Sus scrofa: one gene and its partners. The protein of the gene in region 1 purifies or fractionates together with the protein of each later gene. This does not show direct contact. Links are inferred from orthologs where the notes say so. Each region holds a gene or a part of one and is shown in the gene's direction. Other genes may lie near its edges. The genes, in order: CDC27, MAD2L1, ANAPC13, CCNB1, ANAPC16, UBE2S and ANAPC1.

Region 1 (4,022 bases):
ATAGATAAGCAACAAGGATTTACTGTATAGCACAGGGAACTATATTTGATATTTTGTAATAAACTATAATGGCAAACAATCTGTAAATATATCTGCATCACTTTGCTGTTCACCTGAAACATAATATTGTAAATCAACTATACTTGAATTTAAAAATATTGCAAAGACTTTTTCTTATCTACCAAAAAATAAAGTTTTGATAGTTCCCTGTTCACACATTCTGGGGGGAAAGGGAGCAGGAAGTAAATTTGAGAACCTCTTAGAGTTTGTTAGACACAGTCACATACTTTAATGCATTTAGTTCTCTTAATTGCTTTTTTTTTTCAGACTAAGGCAACAGAAGTTCAGGGAGGTTGTGACTTGCTTAAGGACCTAATACAATTTAGTGCCAGAGATAAAATTCAAAACTAAGCCTCTGAATTTCCCAATACACCACAATGCCTCTATCAAGAATAAAAAACTCTTCCCTCCTGAGATTTTTCCATGATCTGGCCACCTAAATAATCATTTCCAGTTAACGTACCAGATCTCATTCTACTTCCTTCTATTTTCTCCTTTCTTCTAATTCTACCCATCCTTCGAAACCAGTCTGAAACTTCCTCATCTCAATCCTAATTAATTTCCCTTTCCTCTCTTCTGAATGCTCACATCACCATATAATGTACTATTCTTTGTTACATTAGTTTTCCGTTAAATAGACAATAATCTCTTTGAGGACCGGGGTCCTACAAAATCTTCGGGGGTGGCAATCCTTCCAATTTCCTATTTTCCTTTTGAGCCTTGAATAGATAGTTCTGGAATGAATGAATGACCTAAACTCAAAATACAGATAATTCTTGTTTAACTAAAGTCAACCCCAAACTCTTGGGTTTAACCCTTTGCTTAATCTGCAGCGCACCAATTAATCCAGCAAGGTTGAGCGGAGAAGCAAGGCGGCCACCGGGTCACGTAACGATCCCAGCTGACTCCTGCAGCCATGCCCAGCCTACTGGTTGCGGATTGGGCGTGCCCTAGGGTGGCCCATGGGGGGCGTGGCGTGCGTGAGTGAAGGCATGGCGTAGAAGTGGAACCTACGCACTGGGTTACACTCGGTAATCTCCGGTAATCCTCGACAATTTCCGGCAACGGTCTCCTCCTCCGTCGATACACCTCGGGTATTTCCGGTTTCCTTCGGTCATTTCCGTCTGGCTCCCGCCCCGGTCTCTCCACTTCGGGTTTTTCCGTGTCCCTTTCGGAAGTACTCGGCAATCGCTCGGCCTCCCCCATCCCCCGGTAACGGTCGCTGGTGAGTTTAAATGAGCCGGGGCTGGCCGGGCCGGAGCCGCTACGGGGGGGGGCCTGAGGCACTGCAGAAAGTGGGCCTGAGCCTCAAGGATGACGGTGCTGCAGGAACCCGTCCAGGTAATGGTAACCCCCTTCGCTGAGGCTTGGCTCGCAGCCTTGGTCTGGAAGCAGCGTATGGCCACTTCGCGGCCTGGTGCGGCCTAGGCCCGGCTGCTTCTCCCGCCTCCCCTCTCGCCGGCTTCTGCCTGTCTTCTCGTCAGTTCCGAAGCCTTGCCCGCAACCTAAGCCGTGTTACCTCTGGCCCTACATTACTTCTTCCCCCAGCAGGAGCGGGGTTCGTTGATAAGACCCCCTTTCCCTTCCAGGCCAACGTCGAGCGAACCCCTTCTGTCAGTCTGGGGGCCGGGCCCGGGACGGGTTTGGGATGAGGGGGCGGAAAACTAGCCCCAGGTGCTCTCTTGCCTGAAGATGATTGGGAAGCATATTTGATCAGCGTTTGCAGGATCTTCATAATGGTGGGGCAAGTTTGCGGGGAGAGTGTTGTTTTTGATTTTGTTTTTGTTTTTTTGTGAGTAGGTGGAGGGAGGGTAGGATCGGTGTTTTTAATACTAATTTCTATTTCGGTGACAGACTTTGTAACCCACGTTGCTTTTCTCGCCCAGTAAACTTCCTTCTGGACAATGATTTCCGTCGAGAACTCCAAGGCCCGGTGCTGAGATGCAAGCACCTATTAAAGGGGAGAGGGTGGAAACGGCAAGTTGGGTTTTTTCCATGACCTATGATGGGAATCAGGAGTGTTTTATTGTACGTGTTTATAAGGCGTTCAGGAAATGAAAGGCAGATAATGATTTTTCCGTCCGTACCACACCAAGGTATGTTTTGATGCAAAGTGCTCCATTGGCTTGGAAGGAACCCTATTGGATTTTAAGTGTGTGATGATGCAGTGCCAAGTCATTCCCCCCCCCCCCAAGACATCTGAAGAAACTGAATCTTTTGTCCCTTGGTGATGGACCAGGTCTGGGAGACTTTATGCCTACCCTATGATCTTTGAATTGATTAAAAGAGTTGACCTTTATCAACTACTGTCTTTGAGTCAGGGACTTTCTTTATTTTGAAGTTAAAAAAAGAAACCAATTTTAGAAGTTCTTTCATATTGCCCTTAATAGGCCTATTCACTACTTACTATTGGTATCACATAGTAAAAAATTTAATACATCACTCCTTCCATATTTCCTTAATTTTTCTTCACAGGATGAAATACTATTTTCTCCTAGTTGGCTCTTTCTCTAGCTCTTTTCTGTATAGCAACTATTAGTTTTTTAGTTAATATAATGTGAGATTCTATCCTGGAAGTTTACCTGTTTTTACATTATACTGGTGCTTTCAAAGCTATTTCCTTCCATCACTTTTCTCTTACTAGTAAAGAGTCCCTTTTTAAGATTTTTTTTTTGAAGCCTAACATGAAATTGGAAGTTACTGTCTGTACCTTTTTAAATGGATAAGCAAATCACTTAAATCGTTTAATTTCTGCTTCAGATTTTTGTAATTTCAATAATTAATGATATATTTTCCTTCTCTGGTCCCCAAACCCTTCTAAAATGATAAACTAGTTTTATTACTAACCTATAACAACTATTTATTAACAATTTAAACTTACATAAAAACATAAAGAAAATATGTAGCCAATTCCTTGATAGTACCAATCGAGTTTCCTCTTTTTCTTTAAAGTACTCTTAACTCTAAAGCATTTAGGGTATTTTTAAGGCTTAAAAGTCAGATTTGTCTTGGAGTTCCCATCCTGGCTCAGCAGTTAGCAAACCCAGCTAGCATCCATGAGGACACGGGTTCAATACCTGGCCTTGCTCAGTGGGTTTAGGATCCAGCATTGCTATGAGCTGTGGTGTAGGTCGCAGACGTGGCTTGGATCCCACATTGCTGTGGCTGTGACATAGGCAGGCAGTTGCAGCTCCAATTGGACCCCTAACCTGGGAACCTCCATATGCCGTGGGGGCAGCCCTAAAAAGACAAAAAGACCCCCCCCCCAAAAAAGGTCAAATTGGTCTTTTTTTTTTTCCTATACTACCTTTATTAGATTTGGGCACAGTGGTAAGATGAGTGAAGATAGAGCTAGGTGAGAATTTTGGTTATAATTTTTACTATGAGAAGAAGCCATTCAAGAAGGGATCTGGAGCAATAGGATCTTTGGCTACAATGATAAAAATCAACTGATAGGAATAGTGCTGAAAATGGGAAGGAATTATTAAAAAAGAGAATAAAAATAGAACAGCTACATAAGATACTTTTTTTAAAACTCTAGTAAGTGATTGCATGTATTTGTGAAGGAATGAAAGAAGGTATTTCCTTTCTAGGGATGTCTCTGCTCAAGGTATTACTAGGCCTCCTTGGAAAAAGTTGAGAGAAAAGATGAGCAACTGTTTTTTGCTTTTTCTTTTTTAAAGTTTTAGCATGGAGTAGCCAGTTTGATTTAAACCGTATAAGCCTAAATACAATTCTCTCTCTTAGAAAAGTGTTACTTTATATTTGAGTCTTTACAAAAATCTCTATTATGAGGCAGAAATTTTTGTCAGTTATTTTTAAAGTAACTGGGAGATAAATTAGCCTAAGTGACTTGAATCAGTGTTAATTTGGATCTTAATAAAATTCATCTGATGAAATTTATTTATTTATTTATTTATTTATTTATTTTTTGTCTTTTTGCTATTTCTTTGGGCTGCTCC
Region 2 (4,239 bases), on another chromosome or scaffold:
AAAGACGGTGATTTAAACACACACACACTTGTACCACAGAAACTAAAGGATGTAAGGAAAATGTTATTGGATCAAATCAACTTATTACATATTATACCTGTTTCAGTCTTTAAACTGATCAAGTTTTGATATATAACACTGAATAGGCAGAGTTCTAAGGGCGTCCTCAAAATTTGTGGCCTCCAGGGAGCCTATCCTATAGAATCCCTCCACTTTAGTGTGGCCAGAGTAGTGATTATTAGGAGTTATCACTTTGAGGATTAAGTTCATCAAAGAGGAAATTATCTGACTGGGTCTGACCTAATCACTTGAGCCTTTAAAAGGGACCTCCCAGAAGTCAGAGACTGGAAGCCTGAGATTTATGGAAGGGCTACCTGGCAAAAGCACAAGACTGGCCTCTGCCAACAGCTGGCAAGCCAGTGAGGACATCAGTCCAAGAACAAGGATATTAAGTCTACCAAGAACCAAGGGCCTCAGAAGAGGACCCCTGATTTTAGGTAAGATCCCACTTGCAGACAAATACCCTTATTTCAAACTTGTGAAGACTACAGTAGAGAACTCACCTATGCCACGCCATGCTCCTGACTGAAGGACTGATAATAAATGGGTGTTGTTTTAAGCCACTCATTTGTGGTAATTTATTATGCAGCAATAGAAAACTAATACACTCAGGCATTTTTTCATACAATTAAATAACATTATGTAAGGTGGTTAAGTTTTTCAGATTTCATTTTACATTTTTTCTACCCACTTTAAGAATAAACTTGTTTCAAAACAACTGACATGCACATTAGTTGCGCGCTATCTCTTTAGTACTTCTCATCCTAACAATAAAATTCAAAATTCACGGAAAAGTTCTTCAGTGTTGAAAGGCCTTTTTGGTGAAGTGACCTTACTCCTGACCAGTCGCCGAAGGATGGCGGGGTGCAGAGTGCAAGCTGGACCATCAGAGACAGCCTCAGGCTGCCCCCAGACTGAGCCTAGCAGAGGGTCGGGGTGAGGAGTAGACGTGAGCTTTGCCCAGAACAGACAAGGGAAAGAAGAATGGACGCAGTTCATCCCTTTAATCCCTAAACCAATTTCTCAGGAAAAGCCGCGCGCCCACAAGTAATCAGGGTCTCTAATAAAACTGTGGTGCGCACGCAGTAGCTTTAGAAACTCCCAAAGCATCTGAGGAGTTCCGCCCGCCCACTAAGAATCACTGGGGCTACTTAAGGTACAGCTAGCAGACAGATCGGAGCATTTTCAAAATATCTTTCAAACTCAGGAGTTGTGCTCCTTACCCCTTCTGCCTGAAGACTCAAGGCGCGGCCACTAAAACCGCGATATACCGTCTTTGCCGCAAGCCCCCAGCTAGCCAACCAACTACCGCAGGAGTTCCACAAGGAACCCACCGCGACGCAACGACTCAACAGCGTGAGCACGTCCACCCACTGCGCAGGCGCGAAGAGCGGCTACGCGAGGAAGGAGAAAACAAGCCAGACCCCGTGGTGTAAGGGCGGGGCCTAAAGGCTCGTTGCGCCTGCGCGAAAGAGTCGACGGCGTCCTGCGTCGTTACTTTTGAAACCGGTGGCGGGGAACTACTCTGGAAGTCACTGGTGTGGCTGGTTGCCGCGTGAAAGCGCGTCTCTTCATCCGTGGGCCTGGCCATGGCGCTGCAGCTCTCCCGGGAGCAAGGCATTACCCTGCGCGGGAGCGCCGAAATCGTGGCGGAGTTCTTCTGTAAGTCCTTCTCGCGCAGGCCGGAGAGCGGGGAGAACTGTGCCCAGGCCGCCAAGTAGGCCCGCGGCTCGGTACGGTGGCGGGGAGAACCCATTGGGTCAGAGCGGACGCGAATCCGAGCCCTCTCAGTCTCAGCGTACTGCCAGGCAGGAGGGATCTGGAAGAGGCGGATGCAGGCGCCTCTTCCGGATGCGTTGCTAATGGTGGAGGAGGCGGCCTAGGTTCTGCTGAGGCCTGCCTGGCGATATAACCGCTTAGCCGGGAGCAAACCCCATACCCACCCCGAGGTGAATCAGGATTGACGGTAATGGGCTAGACTTGGGGAGGCGTTCTTCTGGACCAGGCCAGTTGCACCTTCTGATAGAACCTGGCAGGACTTGTGAGAAGAAAAGGAGGAAAAAAAGGAGAGGATTGCCTGGGCGTTGGACGACTCAGTTGCTTCTTTTGACATCCTCTAACCATAAAGTCTGAATTTAGAATTGTTTTACAATGAAATGAAATTTGGCACTGGTAGATAAATGCAGTTTGCCATGTTTCTTTTATTGCCACTTAAATGCAGATACCACTTTTTTGTTTAGAAGCAAAATTTTAAAGCTTTTTAATTTCACTTTGTACCTTTGAGCAAAACACAAACGCGTGTTTAAACATTTACAGCTTTACACCATTAATGAAACCATAGCCACATGACTAAATATGTTTTATTTCTCAGAATTACAAAATGAAAATGACTTTTAACATTTCTTTTGTTTTCAGCGTTTGGCATCAACAGCATTTTATATCAGCGTGGCATATATCCATCTGAAACCTTTACTCGAGTACAGAAATACGGACTTACCTTGCTTGTAACTACTGATCCTGAGCTCATAAAATACCTAAATAATGTGGTGGAACAACTAAAAGGTATTTCATTGTTGGAAACAGTTTTGAGTTTTGCCAGCATTCTAGGATCCATTTTCTAGCAGCTTGCTGGTCATTTTTCATCTGTATACCTGGTGGTGTAAAACACACTACCATCTCAAATATAGTGAAATAACTGGGAGGAAGAAAATAAATCAAAAAGAAGTCCCATCTTTACCCCATTTTGAGTGGGCTGAATATTTTCATGTTAGGAACGCGATACGGCTTAATGAAACAATTCCCATCAACTCCTTTAGAAATGAGTGTTGCAGTTTATGTGACCAAATGGAACATGTTGGAATTTTACATAATTATATTGGTGTTCATTATCTGAGAAAAATCCACTATATATATATTTGTAGCTGCATGGAGTCTAAAGCCATCATTAAGATGAAGGAAGCAAAACTGAATTCAACCTGGGGACTAAACTTTAAAAAGAACAACTACCAAATAACAGAGCACCATTAGAATTTTCTTACTTTTCACCTGTTTCCATTGTCTTGTCTTAAATCCTACATGTGAGTCTGAATACTTATTTTTTCCTTTTAGCTCAAGAAGTGTCAGTATTGTTTAATTAATACTTGTTCTCCATCTATTCCTCTTCTTTCTTCTAAAATTTCTAGTTTCTCTTTCATGTTTGTCTCCACCTAGGGTTCTCATTTCTAATTTTTCTGTGTTGTAGGATATTTTTCCATATCCACACATTGATCTTCCAAAGTTCTAAAAAACACTACAGCCCTCATCTTTATTTATTTTTTTTTTAAGTTTTTACTGAGGTATAGTTGATTTACAATGTTGTAATAATTTCTGCTGTACAACACAGTGATTCAGTTATACATGTATACACATGCATTCTTCTTCAGATTTCTTTCCCATGTAGCCCATCACAGACTGTTTGGTGGAGTTCCCTGTACTATACAGCAGGTCCCTATTGGGCAAGCATTCCATATACCTCAGTGTGCATATGCCAATCCCAAATCAATCCCCCACCCCATCCCTCTTCCCCCACTTCTCCCCTTTGGTTACCATAAGTTTTTCAAAGTCTCTGTTCTGCAAATAACTTCATTTGTATTTTTTTTTTTTTTTTAAGATTCCACATTAAGTGCTATCATGTTTGTCTTTCACTAACTTCACTTAGTATGATAATCTCTAGGTCCATCCATGTTGCTGCAAATGGCATTATTTCATTCTTTTTTATGGCTGAGTAATATTCCATTGTATATATGTACCACATCTTCTTTATCCATTCCTCTGTCAGTGGACATTTATGTTGCTTCCATGTTTTTAATTTTAAATGAATCTTTTTTGTTTCAAGCAGCTTGATTTTTTTAACTCAATGAATTTTATTACATTTATAGTTGTACAACAATCATCACAACCCAATTTTACAGCATTTCCATCCCAAACCCCCAGCCCATCCCCCAACCCCCAACGTGTCTTCTTGGAAACCGTAAGTTTTTGAAAGTCTGAGTCAGTATCTCTTCCGCAAAGAAGTTCACTGTATCCTTTTTTTAGATTCCCCATATAAGTGATAGCATATGACATTGGTGTCTCACTGTCTTACAAACTTCACCTAGTATGATAGTTTCTAGGTCCATCCATGTTGCTGCAAATGCCATT
Region 3 (4,172 bases), on another chromosome or scaffold:
AAAACTTGCTAAACTTCCCACCCGTGAATGAACCGCTATCACCTGCCATCAATGACCTAAGTCGCAACAATGCTAAGAAGCTAACCAGATGAGGCAGCCCAGGCGAGAGGGCCTTGCCGAGGATCCCTCCCCTGAAGTGGAAGAGTGGCCCGCGGCTAACTCCGCTCCGGGAAGACGAGCAGCTCGCCCACCCCGCCGCCCTCCCGCCGGCCCGGTCTCTAGGTAAGAGCTGACCACCTGGCTGGCCGGGACCGCACGCCGAGGGAGGCCATATCCGGCTTCGCGGGTCAGCCGGGCGTCAGCGAAAAGGCCGGGGGGCGGGGCGCCGGGGCGGAGCCGGGCCGGCGGGGGCGGGCCTGGAGGCCAGCGGGCGGCTGAGGAAGCAGGCCCCAGGCCATTCGGCCGCTCGGCCCGCGGCCCCACCGCAGCCAGGGCTACCTCCAGGCCCAGAGACGGCCGCCCCTCGCCCGTCCGACGTTCGCAATGCGGTTAAGGGCTGCCGCGAGCGCTCCCCGAGCCTTCCCGCCGTTACCTACGGCTGGGGGTGCGCACGCGCGGCACCGCCAACCTGACGTCCAGCCACAGCAGTCAGCACGTTCGTTTTGCCCACTGCTCCTTCACTTTTAATTAAAACAATGTCCTCCCTAACTCCCCCTGTGCTCCGGCAAATGGGCTCACCCACATCCGGGGATCGGAAAGTGAAGGACGTCTGGGTCACGTGATGCTGAGGGCGCGGTCGGCGGGGGTGTGTGACACGCTGGGTTTGGGGCTGGTAAAAGGGTTTGCGCGCACGTAATGTAGGGTCTGGAGATACGGGAGCGCGTTCGGACTCCTGCCGTTTCTCTTGGCTTAGGTCGTTGTTTTCACATCATCCTCTCCCTCCTAACCACTTCTCTTACCACACGTTGGGCGGGGAGGAGGGGAACTTGCTTGGCTGTCCGGACCCCCCCCCCTCGCTTCCGCATTTGGTATATCCCGCCTCGGGCCGGAAGCCGTGGCTGTGGGGCGGCCTCCCAGGCCTGTATGGACGGTGGTGGCCCGAGAGGGTCATTTCTAGCGAGGGAAAAGGCGTCCCAGTTTTGCTCATGTAACTGCATGTTTCACAGAGCTCTAAAGCAGAGATGAATAAAACTGCCCTCCCCCCGGGAAACGCAGGCGTCTCGTGTCTGGAAAGACCGTGTGACAGGCAATATACCAAGATCCTGATGGGGATCATTCTCTGTGCCCAGAGAACTATGGGACCCGCGGAGGGGCGGGGACTGCGCTCTTCTGGCTCTTAGAGAACGACTCCTGCAGAAGACGACCTGGGAGCTAAATTTTTTGGACAGTTTGGGGTTAGCTGGGGAAAAAAGGAAGAAGACAGAGCATTCCAGGCATTGGGACAGTCGTATGTGTAAGAAAACTTTGTTCAGGAAAGTGGTAATGCTTCATTCTGTTGAGTGAGGCAAGTGTTTGAGACGTAGTCATTTCCTGGTCATTGCCCCTCTTTGCCCGTCTTGTGCTTTCCTTTTTTCCAGCCCCTGAAGAGAGAAGGCACCTTAGCGCCTAACTCTGGAAATGGCATGTTGGTTCTGATGAGCTGACGCCAGCTTTGAGTTTGGAAGGAAAAATGGGTGTGTTAGTGATGGGGTAAAGAACTTTGAGTGCAAAGGCTGGAAAGGATAACAGAGTTAGAGGTGTTCGGAAGAGGGACAGGTGAAAAAAGATTGAGGCCAAATTGAGGAAAGATGTGCTGAGTCACTGACAAAAAATTTTACTACACACAGCAATTGGAAGCAGTAATACCTGAGCAGTTGGTCACAAAGTCGACCTGACTTGGTTAGTAGATCATAAGGACAAAAGGTAGATCAAGGGCAGGATGTGGGCTGAAGCTGGAGTGATCTGAGAAACCCTTACAGAAAGGTGGGATCTGTGTGTGACTGGGAAAATCAGCTGGAAGGGACTGTGATCTTGTAAATAACCTGACCCGGATGAGATGAGTCTTTCCCAAAGTGATATCATGCCAAAAGACACATCCAGGCTAAAAAGCTTGGAGAACCCCTAGTGCTAGATTACATCATCTCCTCATGCTTAAGAAATAACCTCTTTGGCTTTCAGATCTGGCAAGAGCAAAGCTGCAGGAAAATGGACAGTGAGGTACAGAGAGATGGAAGGATCTTGGATTTGATTGACGATGCTTGGCGAGAGGACAAGCTGCCTTATGAAGATGTTGCAATACCACTGGTAGGCCCCTGCTTATTCTGAGGTGATGGGTTAAAGGTCTGATATAGTAGAAGTAGGATATCAATGGGCACATAAACTAGTAAAGCAAAGAAATCAGTGCTGTAGAGTCCTCTAACTCTAGAATCCTCTGAAGAACAATTATCTTGTTTTTTTTTTATTTGAAGAGAAATGTGTTTCAGAGAACTGATGTGACCAGCTCAGTTAGGGGTCATGCCAGAACTAGAGCCCAGGTCTTCTGAGCCATGTTCTGTCTGCCACACCACAGGTGGGTTTATCAGTTGACATTTTTAGACACTCACATTTTTGAAACACACACCTATCCTAGGTTCCCTGGAAAATACTCAGAAGACACCTGGCTTTTCTTTTTTTTGCATTTAGACCATCGAGCTCTCTTGTTTCCTGATCTTTGGAAAATTCTGCAAGGAGTTTGTTAAATCTCGTGTTATAAGTTATCTAAACTTTTTTTTTTTTTTTGAATGAGGGCTTATTAAAATTTGTATTTATGTTACCAAGGCCTAACAAGGAGAACAGGGAGTTTTCCTTTAGAGCCTACCAACTTTCCTAGGAAGAGCTGGTAATAGAAGACAGCTTGCAGGCGGACTGCTGCTGCCATTGACATTTCATTTAAGAATAAGTGATAACAGAGTTCCCTGGTGGCCTAGCAGGTGAAGGATCCATCATTGCTGTGGCTCTGGTCATTACTATGGCATGAGTTCAGTCCCTAGTCCAGGAACTTATGCATGCTTAAGGCATGGCAAAAGGGGGGGGCGGGTAATATGTTCAATGAATAATACACATAACACATAACTTAGTTCAAGTTTAGAAAAATAGTCAAAAGCGCATACAAGAACTATAGCTCCACTTATCAAATACCTGTTTTGTGCCATGGACCAAGATCGAAGTCTGACGTATATTATCCCTGATGCTTAAACTTCGGGGTGGTGGTGTTACCCTCAATGTACAGGAAGGATATAGGATCAAAGAGAGGAATTTGCCCAAAGGCTGGTAGCTGATAGGTTGGACTTGACATCTAAGTCTCTGAGACTCCAGATCCTGTTCTGTGGACTTTTTTGGTATCTTCATTCCACAAGCAACTCTTTGAAGCCTACTGTGTGCCGTAAGACTGGGTAAACATAAGTATAGTTTCTGCCCCTCAGGGCCTAGAGATGCAACATAATAAGTAATTTTAATAGTAGGTGCTCTTAGTGGGGGGTGATAAACAGCTACAGCCAGGCAGTAGACATCAGGAAGGGCCTCAGCGAAAAAAAATCACATTTAAGCTGGTCACGAGGAAGGACCAGAGGTTTAGTGGGTAAACAAGGGCCCTCCAGTAAAGGGGACAAATGTGCAAAGGCTTAGAGTTTTGAAAGGCTTTGGGAGATGGTGAAACCTCCGTGTGGATGGAGGGTATACTCGTCATCAAATGTGGTAAGAAAAGTTGGTGTTGGACCCAATTCTGAGAGGAGCATTGGATGCCATGCTTAGCCCTCATCTTAAGGATATGCAGGAGTGAGTGGTCTTCAAAGTGGAAATCTGCCTTCTCACTCACATAGATTAGAAGATCAGCTTAGCATTGTTAAAGAATGTCTGTTGTGGAGAAAGGGTTCAGTGACAGGGCAGAGACCAGTTCGGATGCTATTATAACGTCTAGACAAGGAAGAAAGGGCCTAAACAAAAGCAGGAAAGTGGAGGGAGTTGCTGAATTCTGGACATGCTAACAGCAGAATTTCAGGACCATTTATGTAGAAAGGGTTGAGGGAGAAGGAAATTTCAATGCCGACTTCCAGGTTGTAGCCGGGCCGTATTGCTAATCCATGTCTTTTCCCAGGGCCTGCAGTTCTAAGGCAATGTTTGTGTTAGTTAGCTTTTGCTGCTGCCTAACAAATAACCCCAAAACATAGTGCCTTAAAACAACTGCTGTTTATGTCCTGATTGTGACACTCAGCTGA
Region 4 (4,189 bases), on another chromosome or scaffold:
AAGTGGCAGGGAGTACTGCACTCTTCAAAACCATCAGTGTTCAAAAAACAAAAAAAAAAAAAAAAAAAAAAACAAAGACAAAGGAAAGCTGTGGGAACTGTTCCAGACTAAAGGAGGCTACATGCAACACTGACCCTAGCTGGATCTTGTACTGGAGGAAAGAAAGTGCTAGAAACTGCTCAAGCGACAAAATTAGAATACAAACTAGATTGAATAAAATGTTATAGTAAATTTACGCAGTTGCTAATTCTATTGTGATTACATTAAGAGAATATGCTTTTTTCCTTAGGAAATACACACTAAAAATTTAACAGATAAGGAGCCATGATATATATAACTTACCCTCAAATATTTAAGTGGTTTTTTGTTTGTTTGTTTGTTTGTTTTTTTAAGGGCCGCACGTGCAGCATATGTAAGTTCCCAGGCTAGGGGTTGAATCAAAGTCACATCTGCAGCCCACACCAGAGCTCAGGGCAACTGAGCAAGGTCAGGGATGGAAACTGAATCCTCATGGATACCAGTCAGGTTTGTTACTGCTGAGCCACAACAGGTATTTCCAAGAAAAAAAATTTATATACAGTTATACATAGATCTATATATAAGATTAAGTAAACCATAAAACAAATGGGGTAAAAATGTTAAGGATATTTGAATCTGGATAAAGGCTCTATGTGTGTTCCTTGTTACATTTTTGTCTGAAACTTTTGTAAGTTTGAAATTATTTTCAAGTAAAAAACTAAAAGAAAAAGATTGGCTTTGGGAAACAACTTGATTGAAGTAATCTGGCAGGTTAAGAGGCAGCCTGGCTTGCAAAATTAAGAGACAATTAGTGTGTGGAAACCTCATGGATCCAAAGAAAGTGAAGTTCAATCCCGTGTTACTAATTTGTGATCCTGGGAGTCACCCAAAGCATCTCGGAGCCTCCTTTTTATCCCAGAGTGCTGTTGGAATGAACAAACGAAAAAAGAATGTATATATAAAAGTATTTCCTGCTACAAGCCACTCTAGGAGAGGAAAGTGTGTTTAACAAGTAGGACTAAAGCCATAACTGCCCCTCACGTCAAACAAGGAGCTCCACTCTTCCTTTCCCAAGGCCGCTGTGACTTGTCTCAGCTAACTTTAGTCGCTTACAAGTTCACTGCTCCAGGTGTGGGGCAAAGAGAACCCTCCCTTCATCAGGTGGCAGTAGCGGCTGCCCCAGGGCGCAGGCGCCGAGTCAGACCACGTGACGGCCTGGCCCCGCCCCCGCCCGAACTTCTTCGCGGGATCGCCTTGGAAACGCATTTTCGGAGGAACTGGCCGCCGCCAATGGGAAGTGAGCGAGTGCCACGAACAGGCCAATAAGGAGGGAGCGGTGCGGGGTTTAAACCCGAGGCGGGGCCGGATTCCTCCCGGCGTGCTGCGGAGGAACGGCTGTTAGCTAGTGGTGGCTTCAAGGTCCCCGGCTGGTCGGGGCTCCAGTGCTCTGCTTCTCCCCTCTGAGCTGCTGCCTGGCCTGGTACAGAGGAAGTCATGGCGCTCCGGATCACCAGGGTGAGCTGCTGCGGTTGGTGAACAAACGCGGCTCTCCTGACTCCTGGGTCTCCTCTCCCTGTTTCCCCTGCTGGAGTTCCCCCACGGTGGGAGCGAATTTGGAGAGGAGGAAGGCGGTCGGTGGGCCCCTAACATACTGGGAGAGTTTGGGGGGCAGACGGACGGAGAGAGAAAGGTGCAAAAGAGAAGCGGATGGGCCTTGGACTAATTGGGGGGAGGGGGCAGATGGAGGGTAGACCGGAAACCTTTTGTAAAAGGTGTTGGAGGACCCGAGTGGGCTCCCACCAATTGCGCAATCTTCTTCCCTGAGGGAAAGGGAAGGTGCCTGCAATTGAAGGCTTTTTCGATTTCCATGGTATTTTAGGTCCGGCGGGGACTGAGCACGTAATCCCTCAATAGGTGAACGGAGAGGTTCCAGGAGAAAACTGACTTGTCATAAGCTTAGCGTAGACCCTGGAACCCCGGTTTCCCCTGGGAACCCATTCACAGTCGGCTTTCCTTCTGAGGGCCGCAGTTTTTTTTGTTGTTTTTTTTTTTTGCCCCGCTTTAACCCTTGACTTATTTTAACGTGGCGGGGCCAACTCCCAGACTCGTCTTGCTTCTTACAGAACACGAAAATTAATGCTGAAAATAAGGCGAAGATCAGTATGGCAGGCGCAAAGCGCGTGCCTGTGGCCTCTGCTGCAACCTCTAAGCCCGGACTGAGGCCAAGAACTGCTCTTGGAGACATCGGTAACAAAGTCAGTGAACAGCCACAGGCCAAACTGCCTCTGAAAAAGGTAACTATGCTGATTCAACTATTCTGTGAGTGTCTCCCTTCCAGCTGTGGCTCTTGGTGGAGAAACAATCCATTCTCTCCTTTTCATCCACAGGAAGCAAAAACTTTAGCTGCTGGAAAAGTTGTTGCTAAAAAACTACCGAAACCTCTGGAAAAGGCTCCTGTACCTGTATTAGAGCCCCAGCCAGAGAGGGAGCCCGAGCCTGAACTGGAGCCTGAACCAGAACCTGAGCCTGTTAAAGGAGAGAAACTTTCCCCTGAACCTATTTTGGTAAACTTTCTGGACCATTTTAGAGTCTGTTGATTGTTTGTTTCCTTTCATTTTATTCAAGTATGGAATAGCATTTGAACAAATAGTAGTAATAGTAACATTTATATAGTACTTAACAGGAAGTAGGTTCTGCTAAGCACTGTACATGCATTAGCTCACGTTAATAGTATACTCAGCACTGGTATTCTTCTAGTCACATCTAGTCAATGACAGAATTGGGTTCAAACCCAGCCTATCTGGCTTCAGAAACTGTGCTTTTAATTGCTTTGTTTTACTACCCCTCCTTTGTTTACGGTATTGAGTGGTAGCTGCAGGGACCAAAGATTTTGCTGTCTTTAAGGTACCAGTCATCTCTGACCAGAATATGTTGACTGAAGCACAGATTGTTCTCTTTAAGTCCTTTTTGTTTACTCCCTAATGTGGCCACCAAATAATAATAAGCCAACACCGAAATATATAAATGTGTAAAGCAGAAAATGTAGCTCTTCAGAGAGCAGGGTAAGAAGATGGCTTAACACTTGGCCTCAACACCAAGAACTTTTTATTAAATATCAGATATTAAATGTATCTTCTTCTGTGAGGGAAAAATATTTCATCTAGAAGAGGCTGCTTGGCTGAAATTGCAATGAATTGCATTCTTAAGTACTAATTTTTAATATCTCCTTAAAGCTGGTTGGGAAATGGTCTGTTAAAGTCATTCAGCCTCATTGTATGTCTAAGGGAAGGGGATGTGACTGAGGCTGTGGATTTAATATTGACCTTCTGGACACAGCACAGAAAACTGTAGCATGCACAGTCTTTGTTTTATGGGATTTTTTTTGTGGTTTTCATTTGTTCCTTTTTTTTTTCCCCCACTCTTTAATTGACCATACCTCATGACCTGAGCTTTCATTTAAAAGTCCCATAGTGATTCTAACCTTTGCTTCCCCACTTACAAGAATACTTTTCCCACCCTCTTTCATGTAACTGATAACCTTTTCATCCTTCATAACAGCTCAAGCATCAACACCCAAAGCTTTCTTTAACTTCCCCCATCCCCATCTTAACTTCCCCCACCCTACTCTTGTTCCCAGAATCAGTCTCTTTACTTCATTTACTTCTTTGTTTTGTTTTTTGTTTTTTGTCTTTTGTCTTTTTGCCATTTCTTGGGCCACTCCCGCGGCATATGGAAGTTCCCAGGCTAGGGGTCTAATCGGAGCTGAAGCCACTGGCCTACACCAGGGCCACAGCAACGCTGGATCTGAGCCGCATCTGCAACCTACACCACAGCTCACAGCAACACCGGATCGTTAACCCACTGAGCAAGGGCAGGGATCGAACCCTCAACCTCATGGTTCCTAGTCAGATTCGTTAACCACTGAGCCTCGACGGGAACTCCCATTTACTTTTTCTAAATTCAAAGCTTCTTGAGGACATCATAAAGCCAGTGTCTAGCACAGGGCTTGATTTGAAGAAAGTGCTCAGTCAATGTTTGGACCACAGGGTAACTGGAGCTTGAGGAAAATGGTTTGTGATAACAAGTCAGTTAATCCTTAGTAGTCAGAACAGAACTTGTGTTCTTTTGGGCAGTGGGAAACAGTCCATAATTTGAAATAAAGACTAAGGAT
Region 5 (4,312 bases), on another chromosome or scaffold:
CATCCCAAGCCAAAGCAGCACTGTTTCCATTCGATTTCTCCTATCTATAAGCTGTTTTAAGCCAACTGATGCAGTTTCCACTACACTATTCCACTGCTGGCTCACTCTAGATAATTTGTAAACTATTGGCATTCCCCAAAAAAGTGATTAAAAGATACTGAGCTTGTCCATGGCTTTGACAGAAAGAACAGAGGTCTCTTTGTAACATTAACCTTTAGGAGTAAAATGCAATCTTCTGTGTTTACCTAAACATTTGCAGTGTCTCACCCACTCTAACCAGCATGGTAATTAAGAAAAGCAGGGATATTTAATACACTTATCCTCAAGGGGAGGACAAAAGATCCTGAAGAACTTTTAGAGGTGTTAAAACTATATGCGCAACAAAATCAAAATGCCTATCAGAATCAAATATGACTTAAGCAACATGGTTCTCCAAACGAACACATTGCTGAGGGGAGGAATCCAATTTCTGTGGGCCCCCAAACTGTACATCACTTCACTGAGAGGCCAAGCTTCTAAACATCACTTAAAGAATCAATAATTCTGGAAAGAGGAGTTCCCTTCATTGCTCAGTGGTTAACAAACCCGACTAGGAATCATGAGGATGCGGGTTCCATCCCTGGCCTTGCTCAGTGGGTTAAGGATCCAACATTTCTGTGAGCTGTGGTATAGTTCCTGTGGGCTTAGATCCCCCACGTTGCTGTGGTTGTGGTGTAGGCTGGCAGCTACAGCTTCAATTCGACCCCTAGGCTGGGAAGTTCAACATGCCGTGGGTGCAGCCTGAAAAAAAGAAAAAAAAAATCTGGAAACAAAGATTCCTTATGGGCTAGCCATAGTTAAGCTCAACCAATGTTCCCACTATATGTGTTAGACGGTCATGAAGCCCAAAATAAGTTAGAGTTCCCCCTCAAAAAATCAATTCTCACTAAATACCCTAACGCTCAACCCAATCCCAGCAAGAAAATAGCTTTAATTGGTAATTTGCTTACAGAACCAAGTGGTGATTTCCTGTTGAGATTAGCAGTAAAATGAATAAAATAATAAGTAAAATAAACAGACTTGAATGTCAGAAGGGGTATAATTATCAAGTTTAATGACTTTACATCCTAGTGCCCTATTCCTCCAGGACCTTTCAAATAAATCTCTCCACAAAAGTAGATTTTAATGTTAAGGAAGGGCGCTGAGACTGAGCTCTGGGAAAGAGCGTTGTCTGAGATAGGAAGCTGTTCATCTGCCTTTCCTTGGGATACGAGTCTGCTCAGAAGGATGGCGGAATAACAAATTTAACCCTGCAGCGTGACGGTTTGGTAAGAGAGAGCAAAGCAGAAGGCCTGAAATGCCGTGCGTTAAGATAAAACCCTAAATGACAAAAGTGAGCAAGAAAAAATAAAACGAGTACTCCAAAGGTAGCGGAGAAATACGGACCCCACAGCAAAAAGAAAATCCGGGAACGAGGAGGAGAAGGACCCGGAAGTCCTCTCCGCCCCGGCCACGCCCACTACTGCAAGGGGCACGCGCACGCCGCTGCCGGTCCCTCCACGCGGGCGCGAGCACGGCGCCGCCCTTGTCGATGTTAACTCGGCCGCACCAGTCGGCCTTGGGGGCGGGGCTGTAGGGGAAAGTGCCAAAGCTGCTGAGGTAAGTGGCCGAGGGCTCAGGGACCCTCGAGAGCCTGGTGGAAAGGGACTTGATCTCTGGGATCCTACCTGCAGGGACTAGTAAAATGGAGAAAGTAGGAGGAGGAATGGGAGCCTGCCGCAGAGGGCGTGCAAGAGGAAATTTCCTTAGGCCGCGCCTGGCTAGTGCGCATGCGGGCCGAGGGCTGGCGCCTGCGCAGTGGAACGGCGCTGTTGGCGTAGCCCTCTGGGGACTCGATGGCGGGTCGGGGTGGGGGTGGGGGTGAGGCTGTGGCTGTGACTTGGAGGTAGCTTGAGAACCGTTGGCGTTCTGATCCCTCCTCTTGGCAGCCCATTTCTTTCCGCCCCACTTGTTTTTAGCTGCACATCTTTTTGAATGGTAATCCAGCTGTTTAAGTGAAACACAGCGGAATGAATGTTTTCTTGATGATGGAGTTTAATAATTGCTTCTAATAATTTGCCATTGTACCAGCGTACTTCCTTCAGTATCTTTATGATAGGACATTTTTAAAAGGAAAAGGTTCTTTCTAAGATAGGTATATATCTGCCAGGAAGGAAAGTAGTTTATGAATACGAGGTCATCCCCATCGTATATGAAGTAAATGTGTTGATTATCTCACCAATGTGAACACAGCCGTGCTGTATCTCCCCAGAGAGCATTGTTCTACTGCAAGGATCGCTACTGCTAATAGTTCCAGCTTTCCTGATAGCGTCAAATCCCAGGTTACCTCATCATCAGTATTTAAACATTTGTCAAAATTTTACAGAGCATCAACTTTGGGCATAGCAGCCAAGTGGGAGAAAGAGTTATGTAAATAGATCTGCAGAATGAGGAAGAAAAACAAAATGATAATGAACCAGTCCTCTTCATACCAATCTTCTCTAGCCCCTGGGTAACCTTTGCTGAGCTGCTCGCCCTGTGTTCTGTCATTTGTTCATTATTCAGGAGAAATTGTGATCCAGGTTCTGTGCTAGGCCTCCAGGGTAAAAAGATAACTCCTCCCCCTTTTCCTAAGAAAGGGGTTCTTCCTAAGATTATGAACCTTAAAAGTGTGAAGTGCATGTTAGTGTGAAGTGCATGTTCCCTCTTTCTGAGCAGGTTCTTTCCCCTCTAGGAGTGTGCTGACTATATGTCAAATGGAGGGAGTAATAACTTTTCCCTTGAGTGTGTTGAAACAATAAGTATGAAAAACCGGGATCTGGATAAAGCAGTGAGATCCTGCTGTATGGCACTGGGAACTATATCTAGTCACTTGTGATGAAGCATGATGGAAGATAATGTAAGAAAAAGAATGTATATATGTGTGCGTGACTGGGTCACTTTGCTGTACAGTAGGAAATTGACAGGACACTGTAAACCAACTTAATGGAAAAAATAAAAATCATTTAAAAAAACTGATCTGGCATAGGGAAAAAATGATTCAGGAAAAAATCATTAGTGATTTTGGATAACTAATATTAAGTGTTTACTGTACCTATAACTGTTCAAATTGCTTTAATTATATTAAGCTTCCTAACATGTCTGAGGTAGGCACTATCATTATCCCAATTTTAGAGATGAGGCAACTGAAGAGTAAAGAAGTTAAATGATTTGTCCCGAGTCATACAGATACGAGCCTAGACCAAGAGGCTTCAGCCTGACCTCTTAACCACTATGCTCTTTCACCTCTCACATGGCACATGACATGCCAAAAAGCCATTGTTTAAAATATGGCCCAGCAAATAAGCTAAAGTCTCTACACCTCAGTTTTGTTTGGTCATCTGTAAAATAAGGGAAGTGGATTAGATGACCTTAAAGGAGGAATCTTGTGGTTCTGTGAAATGCTTAACTCATTCAGCAAACATTTATTTAAATCAACAGCTACTTAGTATAGGCCAAGCATAATGTTTGGTTCTGGTGATCCAAGTGACTGCCTTCATAGAACAGTTACAAACTAGGGTTTATTGTTTGTTTCACTTTCATTCATCACATACCACCTGCTGGTAGCACTCAGAATCTCACCTAAATTTTTAAAGCTAGAAATTACTTGGTTGTATTTTTCCACTTAAGTGGAAAACTGCTTATTTATGTTAAAGTTAGTGCTAATTCTGCACTCCGCTTTTCAACCCTGGCTGTTTTGTGTACTGAATGGTAGTTCTGAGTTTGAAAGAAGACTATTCTTTTTAGAAAACATAAACTTTTTAGAATCTTTTGTAAACATGTAGTGTAAATTTCCATTTTGAACTTTTGTAAGGATTCATGTATTTGGTACATATTTTCTCATTTACATGTGGACTTTCTGGTTTTTTTGCTGTGAATGTGACATAGGATTGAACACTCATACCTCCTCTATTCCTAATAGGCCCTGAATTCTAAGACCATTCCTGAGCTGTTTTGTTCCAGTTTTGGGACGCCACCAAGTGATCAATTTGGATATTACATTTGGATGAAAAAGGTTTTTCTAATTTTTAATGAAAGGGCCAATATGTATTTCCTAACCAGTTCCCCTTCCTTGGGAACAGAACACAGTGTTATTCTGGAATTTTATTCGGAAAATTTTATAAGTGAATTTCTTGGTGTGGCTTGGTTAGGATGTATCCAAGACAAACTGTTCTATGAGGCATGGTTGTTTTATCCTCATATATTTTATTTCCTCAGTCAAATTGCTGCCTTGGCACTGCCATATCACCCCTTC
Region 6 (4,136 bases), on another chromosome or scaffold:
CCCCCTCCCTTCCTACGCCCCTGGCCCCGACTTACTGTTCGGCAAAGGCTGTGTTCCTGGCGGGGTACACTGGCTCACTGTCTGGTTCTCCAGGAGCGCGGGGTGCTGTCCCTTTTACACTCTGCTGCATCCCCACAGCATCCTGCCTGCCCCATGGTAGGTGCTCAGAAAAAGCGGACTGAATGCATGCGGGAGTCCGGGGGGCATCCCACGACACGCGCCCCACAGGGCCGTGGCAAGGGCTCGGGGGACCCCGGCGGCGCGGGCCCGGTCAGCGCGGAGGACGCCACCACCGCTCCCCGGTTCGCCATAAGTCACCGTCGGCTGGGACAGCTCAGCTGCACCGCCGCCTCTGCTTGTCCCCACGGGGGACCCTGGGCAAGTCACTCGACCCCCCTCTTCCTTCGGGGTCCTCGTGTGTTAACGGGGCGGGAAGGTCCGCATTCAGCGGGCGGAACCTGCAGGTCGGGTGCGGGGCGCCCGCGCGCCCCTCCGGCGCACGAAGACCGCGAGGCTGTGGGAGTCTCGGCACCGTCCTGCTCCCTCTTCCTGAAGCTGGGCCCCCGACGGGACACCGTGGCCCAGCTGGACGCTCCGCTCCGGGGCTGAGCGGCCCTGAGGCGGGCGCCGCGGCCGCACCGCACCGGGGCCAGGCAGGCCGCGCAGCTCCTCGGCCTCCGGCTCTCCGGACAGGGTCCCCCCGGGGCACCCCGGGCCGCTTCCCCCGACAGGCGGAGGGAGCCCCGGCCGGGGCGCGGCCGGCCGGGGGCCCTGGTCAGTCACAAGAAGGACCGCGCCCTGAACAAGGCCAGGGGACTCTTCCTCTTCTCACAGGAGTAAACTGACGCCCGGCGTCGCAACCGAGGCCTGGCCGGGGCCAGAGGTCACACATGGGGGTGGGGGTGGGGCCGGTCGTGGAACCTCTGCCAACACAGGACACGGGTCATAGGTCATTGCCAGCACAAAATGGCGCCTCGCAGAAATACGTCTATCAATTCGCGGTGCCCACCCCCGCCACAGGCTGAGGAAGGGGCGCAGGCGTCCGGGCACACTCATCTGCATACACAGAAACGAACGAAGTTAATTGGCTGCGAGCGCCTGGGTCCGCGGTAGGGAGGACTCCCATTGGTTGCTCTCCAATTCTCCCGTTCCCTACTGGAGAAGGCCCCAGTACGCCTTCTCCAGTAGGGATTGGCCTCCGCGTGTCTCATGACGCCACGCCACGATTGCGCGTCCCCATTGGCCGGACCGCCTTCCATCATCCTTTTAAAACCCCTCAAGTCCCGCCTCTCTTTGCTCGGCTCGGGCTCCCGGGTCGACCGTTAGTCGCGTGCGCGATTTCCTGGGCGTCAGGGCGCGAGCGCGTACGCCGGCGTTTCATTCAAACGGACCAATCAGCGGTCGCGTCACCCTTCCCGTTCTCTTCTCTACTTCCCCTTTTCTACCTCTCCTTTCTCCTGGATTTCCTCCCTGACCCCCGTGCGCACGTATTGGCCAGCCTGCCCCGCGCCCCCTCCCCAGTTTCTCCTGCTCTTGCCCGCAGTTTGTCGAAAGGGAGCGAGCTCGTCGAACGCCAAGGAGTGTGCGCACTGACGTCACGAGTCGAGGCGCGGCGCGAGGGGCCCCGAGGGGGCGAGGCCTGTGGGCGGATATAAAAGGGCGGCGGTGTGCGCGCGGCCGGCTTAGTGCGGTCGGGCGCCCGGGGCGGGTTTACCTGCTCAGGCGGTGTGTGGCGGTCGTCGGAGGCAGTGGGGCGCGGAGCCGGGCCGCTGGGGCCTCCCCAGGGCCGCAGCGGCGGCAATTGGGCCCCCCGCCCCAGCCAGCGGCCGGAGAGCGCAGGAAGGGGGCCGGGGGGACCCGCCCCCGGCCGGCCGCAGTCATGGTGAGCGTCGCGTCCGGGCCTGTTGGGGGGGGGGGGCGGTCAGGGCCCTCCTGGAGGAGGAGATGGGGTCTCAGGAGCATCTCTCTGGCGGCTGGGGGATTGGATGGCCCAGTTGGGGGTCCTGGGTTAGGGCTGGGCCCAGGGGCCCTCCTGTAGGCGGAGCGGGAGGGGAAGGCCCAGCTGAGCTCCGGGAAGGGCTCCGGGCTTTCGGGCCTGCCCGTGGGTGTTCCGGGAGTAACGACACTCCGCCGCCATCTCCAGGCCGGAGCTGGGGTTTCCAGGATGGTCTTCCCAAGTTGAGGTGTGGAAGGACACCGGGGTAGGGCTCGGGCCTACCCGGGACCACTGGGGGTCCGTATGTGGGGCTACGAATGGGCTTTAGGGACTTATGGGGAAGGTGGAGTCATCCGCCAGACCTTGGAGATCCGCTCCATTCCTAATGGGAGATTCACCTGAAGCCATCGCCTGAAGCACCCTGGATTGGGAGTGTCTGGGAGCTCGGGGTGATTGGCCAGACTAGGACTGCAGGGGCAAGAAAAGTAGGGCGGCCACCGCATCCTAGGTCCTGCAGGAGGCCCCAGGACCAAAGGCCCATGGCTCGCCCCCTTTTTTCCACATCTAGAACTCCAATGTGGAGAACCTACCCCCGCACATTATCCGCCTGGTGTACAAAGAGGTGACGACACTGACAGCTGACCCACCTGATGGCATCAAGGTCTTCCCCAACGAGGAGGACCTCACTGACCTGCAGGTCACCATCGAGGGCCCTGGTGAGTGTGGGTGAGGGAGGTGCGCTTCCTAAATCCTTGGCATCCTTGGAGCGGGAATAGGAAGCTCTCAGTATAAGGTGGGCTGCCAGACCTGTGACGGGCACACCTGGTACGCATGGTGCTCATGGGCTGCAGGGCGGGAAATCGCAGTTGTGTATACTTTCTCTGAGAGAATTGAGAGAAAATCCTGGGGGTCCTATCTGGTTTGGGTGTCCTCACACCCAGAAGTATGGGAAGGAATTGAGTGGAATTGGGAAGAGGGTGCCAGGACGTGGGAATGGTGTCTGAGAGGCCTGGGGGGGCGGGCTAGACGATTGCAAATTCCTTCCTGCTGTCAGTGTCAGGGGCTTTGAAGACCAAGCAGAGAACAAGCCAGGTGCAGTCTGGCGGGCAGAGGGCAGTAACAAGCAAATGAGTACCTGTGATCGTTGGACCACACACAGTGGTTCAGCGTGTTACTGCGTGTGTGCTACATTTCACTTATTAGTGGAATTTCTCTTAATCTCAGCGCCGAGCAAGTGATGAAGGACCTAGATGGGAGTTCGGCTTGTAGGGAAGGATCAGGGCGGACTTCTCCAGGGGTGTCGGTTAGAGTGTGTTGATGGGTCCCCAGAGGTTTTTGGCCGACTCCGTGTGTACCTTACGGGAACAGGAAGGAGGGAGACTAGAGAAGCTTCTAGGGGACATATTTCAGTGTTTGTAGGCTTTTTTCTAAGGAGTTTGGAAAGGAAGGGGCTGGTGGGTGTAAAACAGGGGTAATGGGTGCCTCAGAGTTCCTTTGACCAGTGAGGACGGGGCTGGGGGCCAGAAGGCAGAGGCGGTCGGGAAGCTCTTGACCATTGCTAGTGTCCACAGGTGAGAGGAGTGACCAGACTTGGAGGTAGGGTCAGATTCAGGAGAGGACCTGAGGTCAGCTGCCCAGGCTGCTGATGGGTTGGATGTGGGGGCTGAGGCATGAGGATGTTTGTCTGGCGGGGAGACTGTGGAGTTGACAGCTGTCTTGGCATTGGCCTAGCAGGCTTCCAAATAGCTGTGGGTGTGCATGGCCTTGCCACTTGGCAGGGGTGGGGGGGGAGAGGCATCCCATGGGTGGGAACCACAAGCCAAGGGGTTACCTCTGAGGTGGGGGGGTGCCTCCTGGGAACCCAGTCCTCTCGCCCTCTCCAGAATGCCTGCCCTGAGCCTAGTCGGTGGAGACTGCCCTTTAGGGCTTTTCAGGGTGCCCAGGAGACCTGAGCCTCCTGACCCAGTTGTCCCCTTCCCCGTCCCTTGCCTTCCAGAGGGGACCCCATACGCCGGAGGCCTCTTCCGCATGAAACTCCTGCTGGGGAAGGACTTTCCTGCCTCCCCACCCAAGGGCTACTTCCTGACCAAGATCTTCCACCCAAATGTGGGCGCCAACGGTGAGATCTGTGTCAACGTGCTCAAGAGGGACTGGACAGCTGAGCTGGGCATCCGGCATGTGCTGCTGGTGAGTTAGGGCT
Region 7 (4,029 bases), on another chromosome or scaffold:
ACCCCAACTCCCACAGTCTGCTGGTCTCCGGGCGCGGGTCCCCCTGGAGATGGGGTCTGCCGCTCCCAGAACTCCCGCCACAGCCAGGGTCCAACCGCGCAACCAAGTCCAGGGCAAAGTTTCTGGCGCATTCCGCGCCAGACCTGCGACCAGCGTTCCTCTCCGCGCAAAACTTTTGGGCTTGCAGCGCTTCCAGTCAAGCTCGATTTCCCCCTGGGCGGTTAAGGGGAGCCCTCGGTACCCACCCCTTCCCGACTCCACCGGGACGCGCGCCCACGACCCAGCCTGGGTGCGGGGACAGTGGGTTGCTAGAAACTCCTGCGCGCCAGCGCCTGGCACCGCTGGGGCGCGGGGAGATGTTTGCAAACTTTCTTGCAGCCGGGTGCGCCCAGGTCGGTGCGCTCCCACCTCCCAGCTCCCGGCCGCGAGCCCCCAGCCCCCAGCGCCGGGCCCCTGGCCCCGGGCACTCACCTCCCCTCCAGAGCGCGGGGAGGAGGAGCCACCGCAAGAGCAGCAGCAGAGCCCGTCCCATCCTGGGGCGCGGATCTGGAAATTCTCTCTGGACCGACGGAGAGACAGACGTCTGGAACACGCCGCGTCGTCCGCCAAGCGCGCCAGAGAAGCGGCCCAGTACCGGCGGCCCGGGCAGCTCCAACCCCGAAGTGGCGAAGCCGAGCAGCGGCGGGAGGCGCTGAGGGCTGGAGGGGGCGGGCCGGGGGCCGAGTCCGAGCGGACCCTAGCCAGTTGGGTTGGGAAGCGGGCGGGAAGGCGGGGGGGAGAGGAGGGCCGAGGAGGAGGAGTAAGGGGACAAGGCTGGACTAGAGGGGCGGGGAGGGGCTGGTCTGGGCGGACCTGGATGTGGGGTGGGGGCGAGGGGACAGGAGAGAGGGGAGGAGGTGGGGGCCGTAAAGGGGAGGGGCGACCGGAGGTGGAGAGGAGAACCCGGCCCAGGCCTCTGGGCGGTCCCGGCGTCCAACACGTGCAGGTGGGAGGGACAGAGGGAGGAGATAAAGTTCCAGAGGAGTAGAAGACGCCCGAGGCAGCCACCAGACCTAAGAGGAGGGGCCAGCGGCTCCCGGGCAGCGGCGACCCCGCAATCCAGGCTTAGTGGACCCAGAAAACTCAGGCAGCAGCAGCTCTCCCAGAGGACAAGGCCACAGTGGTAGGCGATCTTTCTGAGCGCCGCATCCACCGGCTCCCGGCCGAGCGCTCCCCGCCTACACCGCCTCGGGTATCGGGCCAAAGGTGAGAGACCAGCCCTGGCCTTTAGGAACTCTCCTCCCCCCGGGGGAAGAACCACTGTGTCCCCTTGTCAAAGACGTGATGGTCATGGAAGATCGTCAAGGAAAAAGTGCAGAACACTAGCGGAAAGAGATAGCCCCGCAGTGATAAAGTGTGTAGGGGCCAAGGGGGCAGCCGCTAGAGTTAATGTATTTTAATGTGATCCTTTGACAACGTGAGCTAAATCTTGGCATTCCTCTAATCACAACTCCACTGGTGGTTCCTGCTTTCTCCCTGCAAAAGAGTCAAAGTCCTGCCTGTGGCTGACAAGGTCTTAGAAGACGTGGTCCTCTTTCCTCTCTGACATCATCTCCTTACTCCATTTCCATTTACGCTGCTTTCTGATCCAGCAGTCCCTGACTCCTAGGCTGGTGGTCACTTGGGGTATATTTGGCTGTAAGGAGACAACAAGCCCAAATGGATTTAGATTGGTTATTACACTGACAGCAAAAGTAACATCAGCATGGTGACATCACCTGGCATCCCTAGTCTCTCAGGGTGACACGGATCTCAAGGGGCCAGATGAACAGATGTGAACAGTGAGGGGATCTGCTGCTAAGAAGCTAATTCTAAAGTACAGCAGAGCAGTTTCACATACGTACCCAGGAGCCTGCTGCTGTGCTTGGGGGCAGGAGGAAACCTGGAGGGAAGGCAGCAGAAAGTCCTATGCTCAACTGAAAATATGGAGAGGGAAGAAAACAGCCTTGTAGCAGTTTTCCTCAAGTCGGGGATGTGACAGATGACAGACAGTCAGGATATGAAAAGATGCCCAACATCACTAATTATGAGAGAAATGCAAATCAAAACTACAATGAGGTATCGCCTCACACCAGTCAGAACGGCCATTATCAAAAAGTCTAAGATACTAAATGCTAGAGAGGGTGTGGAAAAAAGGAAACTGTCCTCAACTGTTAGTGGGGATGTAATTGGTGCAGCCACTATGGAGAATAGTATAGGGGTTCCCTAAAAAACTAAAAACAGAATTAGTATATGGTCCAGCAATCCCTATCATGGGCATATATCTGGAGAAAACTCTAATTGAGAAGATACATGCACCCCAAAGTTCAGAGCAACACTATTCACAATAGCCAAGACATGGTAGCAATCTAAGTGTCCATCAAGAGATGAACAGATAAAGAAGATATAGTATGTATACACAATGGTATATTACCAGCCATAAAAAGATTGAAATATTGCCATTTGCAAGCAAGATGGATAGACCTAGAGATGATCATACTAAGTGAAACTGTCAGAGACAAATATCATATTCCACTTATATGTGGAATCTTAAAAAATGATACAACTGATGAAAAGAGCATGTTTTAAAGAAGGCCTTAGGGAAAAAAAAGAAAGCATTAGGGAAGAAAAAATACATTTATAGTACTGTACTGTATTTACCAATACCATAAGTTTATATCACGTGTTTAAAAGATGTAAAACATGTCAATACCTATATTGATATTAAATAGTCTTATATGATACAAAACACTGTAGATAGTACACGTATGACTAACATTAGACATCAAAAGTGAAAACATAACTTGAAAAATAGGGAGTTCCCTGGTGGCTCAGCATGTTAAGGATCTAGTGTTATCACTGTTGTAGCTTGGGTCACTGCTGTGGCTCAGGTTCAATCCCTGACCCAGGAACTTCTACATGACACAAGCATGGCCAAAAAAAAAAAAATGCATATTTATATAAGGTACCATATTTACTTATTTACTTATTTATGGCCATGCCTATGGCATGTGGAATTTCCCAGGCCAGGGATCAAACCCAGGCCACAGTAGAACCCAAGCTGCTGCAGTGACAACACCAGATCCTTAACCTGCTGCACCACAAAAGAACTCTGGTGTCATATTTATCGAAAAAAATCTAGAGTTCCCATTGTGGCTCAATGGTAATTATCCCGACTAGTATCCACGAGTATGGGGGTTCAATCCCTGGCCCCGCTCAGTGGGTTAAGGATCCGGCATTCCCATGAGCCGCAGTATAAATTGCAGACACAGCTCAGATCTGGCATTGCTGTGGCTGTGGTGTAGGCCAGTGGCTACAGCTCCAATTCAACCCCTAGCTTGGTAACTTCTATATCTGCAGGTGCAGCCCTAAAAAGACAAAAAGAAAAAAGAAAGAAAGAAATCTGAGTGTAAATGGACCCTCAAAGTTCAAATCTGTGTTGTTTAAGAGTCAACAGGACTGGTATTAGACAGTGTAAGAGACTACATTTGGAGAGGTGAATGACAAACTGGAAGAACCAGTGTCTAGCCCTTGCAACTTCTGGATTCCTTTTGCCATGCTGAACATCTGGGATGTGCAAATATCTAGACATCAGCATTCACTGAAGCACTGAGATGCTGCTTAGCAGAGTCTTGAATCAGCATAAAAGTACAAGTGTCCAGCAGTTGAAGATTGGAGGAGATTGGGATGGTGGATATAGGAATCTCTACTCAGCCACTACTAAAGAACATACCAGAAGCACAGGGATCTAGAATTTGTAATCTGATGGGGAACTGAAGTGATGCTTTCAAGCAACTCCATTTAGCTTCTGGAACAAAATCCTAGTAGTCTAAATCCTTTGTAGTTCTAGAGGAATTTAGATGGGACATGTAGAAGACTCCATTTTTCTTCCCCAAACCATTCCAGAAAGAAGATGTTTGTAGTTGTTATAGTTTATTGGGAGAATGGAGGTGGTAGATATAAAAGATTCCGTTTGCTGAACAACATACTGAAATTGCAGAGGTCTGTTTC

Evidence for each region.
Region 2: the proteins of CDC27 (region 1) and MAD2L1 purify together in Homo sapiens (affinity purification with western blotting; 29 studies listed by BioGRID and IntAct, with this or other methods). This does not show direct contact. The link is inferred for Sus scrofa from reciprocal best matches to the Homo sapiens genes CDC27 and MAD2L1.
Region 3: the proteins of CDC27 (region 1) and ANAPC13 purify together in Homo sapiens (affinity purification with mass spectrometry; 5 studies listed by BioGRID and IntAct, counting the BioPlex papers as one, with this or other methods). This does not show direct contact. The link is inferred for Sus scrofa from reciprocal best matches to the Homo sapiens genes CDC27 and ANAPC13.
Region 4: the proteins of CDC27 (region 1) and CCNB1 purify together in Homo sapiens (affinity purification with western blotting; 6 studies listed by BioGRID, with this or other methods). This does not show direct contact. The link is inferred for Sus scrofa from reciprocal best matches to the Homo sapiens genes CDC27 and CCNB1.
Region 5: the proteins of CDC27 (region 1) and ANAPC16 purify together in Homo sapiens (affinity purification with mass spectrometry; 10 studies listed by BioGRID and IntAct, with this or other methods). This does not show direct contact. The link is inferred for Sus scrofa from reciprocal best matches to the Homo sapiens genes CDC27 and ANAPC16.
Region 6: the proteins of CDC27 (region 1) and UBE2S purify together in Homo sapiens (affinity purification with western blotting; 4 studies listed by BioGRID, with this or other methods). This does not show direct contact. The link is inferred for Sus scrofa from reciprocal best matches to the Homo sapiens genes CDC27 and UBE2S.
Region 7: the proteins of CDC27 (region 1) and ANAPC1 purify together in Homo sapiens (affinity purification with mass spectrometry; 16 studies listed by BioGRID and IntAct, with this or other methods). This does not show direct contact. The link is inferred for Sus scrofa from reciprocal best matches to the Homo sapiens genes CDC27 and ANAPC1.

The regions. Positions count from the first base shown.
Region 1 is NC_010454.4:16,809,656-16,813,677, forward strand, and holds the start of CDC27 (cell division cycle protein 27 homolog), read left to right. Parts: upstream 1-1,212; 5' UTR 1,213-1,295; coding exon of another isoform or gene 1,296-1,374; coding exon 1,375-1,401; intron 1,402-4,022. UniProt on the Homo sapiens protein: Component of the anaphase promoting complex/cyclosome (APC/C), a cell cycle-regulated E3 ubiquitin ligase that controls progression through mitosis and the G1 phase of the cell cycle.
Region 2 is NC_010450.4:103,925,921-103,930,159, forward strand, and holds the start of MAD2L1 (mitotic spindle assembly checkpoint protein MAD2A), read left to right. Parts: upstream 1-1,437; 5' UTR 1,438-1,649; coding exon 1,650-1,722; intron 1,723-2,475; coding exon 2,476-2,622; intron 2,623-4,239. UniProt on the Homo sapiens protein: Component of the spindle-assembly checkpoint that prevents the onset of anaphase until all chromosomes are properly aligned at the metaphase plate.
Region 3 is NC_010455.5:75,602,213-75,606,384, reverse strand, and holds the start of ANAPC13 (anaphase-promoting complex subunit 13), read left to right. Parts: upstream 1-1,369; 5' UTR 1,370-1,393; exon of another isoform or gene 1,394-1,444; intron 1,445-1,766; exon of another isoform or gene 1,767-1,818; intron 1,819-2,097; 5' UTR 2,098-2,124; coding exon 2,125-2,223; intron 2,224-4,172. Other genes in the region: CEP63 (centrosomal protein of 63 kDa), read right to left, coding at 238-272. UniProt on the Homo sapiens protein: Component of the anaphase promoting complex/cyclosome (APC/C), a cell cycle-regulated E3 ubiquitin ligase that controls progression through mitosis and the G1 phase of the cell cycle.
Region 4 is NC_010458.4:47,336,859-47,341,047, forward strand, and holds the start of CCNB1 (G2/mitotic-specific cyclin-B1), read left to right. Parts: upstream 1-1,380; 5' UTR 1,381-1,512; coding exon 1,513-1,533; intron 1,534-2,141; coding exon 2,142-2,312; intron 2,313-2,405; coding exon 2,406-2,582; intron 2,583-4,189. UniProt on the Homo sapiens protein: Essential for the control of the cell cycle at the G2/M (mitosis) transition.
Region 5 is NC_010456.5:75,081,177-75,085,488, forward strand, and holds the start of ANAPC16 (anaphase-promoting complex subunit 16), read left to right. Parts: upstream 1-1,496; 5' UTR 1,497-1,638; exon of another isoform or gene 1,639-1,805; intron 1,806-3,979; exon of another isoform or gene 3,980-4,072; intron 4,073-4,312. UniProt on the Homo sapiens protein: Component of the anaphase promoting complex/cyclosome (APC/C), a cell cycle-regulated E3 ubiquitin ligase that controls progression through mitosis and the G1 phase of the cell cycle.
Region 6 is NC_010448.4:59,567,683-59,571,818, reverse strand, and holds the start of UBE2S (ubiquitin-conjugating enzyme E2 S), read left to right. Parts: upstream 1-1,334; 5' UTR 1,335-1,879; coding exon 1,880-1,882; intron 1,883-2,504; coding exon 2,505-2,652; intron 2,653-3,932; coding exon 3,933-4,123; intron 4,124-4,136. UniProt on the Homo sapiens protein: Accepts ubiquitin from the E1 complex and catalyzes its covalent attachment to other proteins. Catalyzes 'Lys-11'-linked polyubiquitination.
Region 7 is NC_010445.4:44,482,739-44,486,767, forward strand, and holds the start of ANAPC1 (anaphase-promoting complex subunit 1), read left to right. Parts: upstream 1-1,222; 5' UTR 1,223-1,245; intron 1,246-4,029. Other genes in the region: MERTK (tyrosine-protein kinase Mer), read right to left, coding at 472-532. UniProt on the Homo sapiens protein: Component of the anaphase promoting complex/cyclosome (APC/C), a cell cycle-regulated E3 ubiquitin ligase that controls progression through mitosis and the G1 phase of the cell cycle.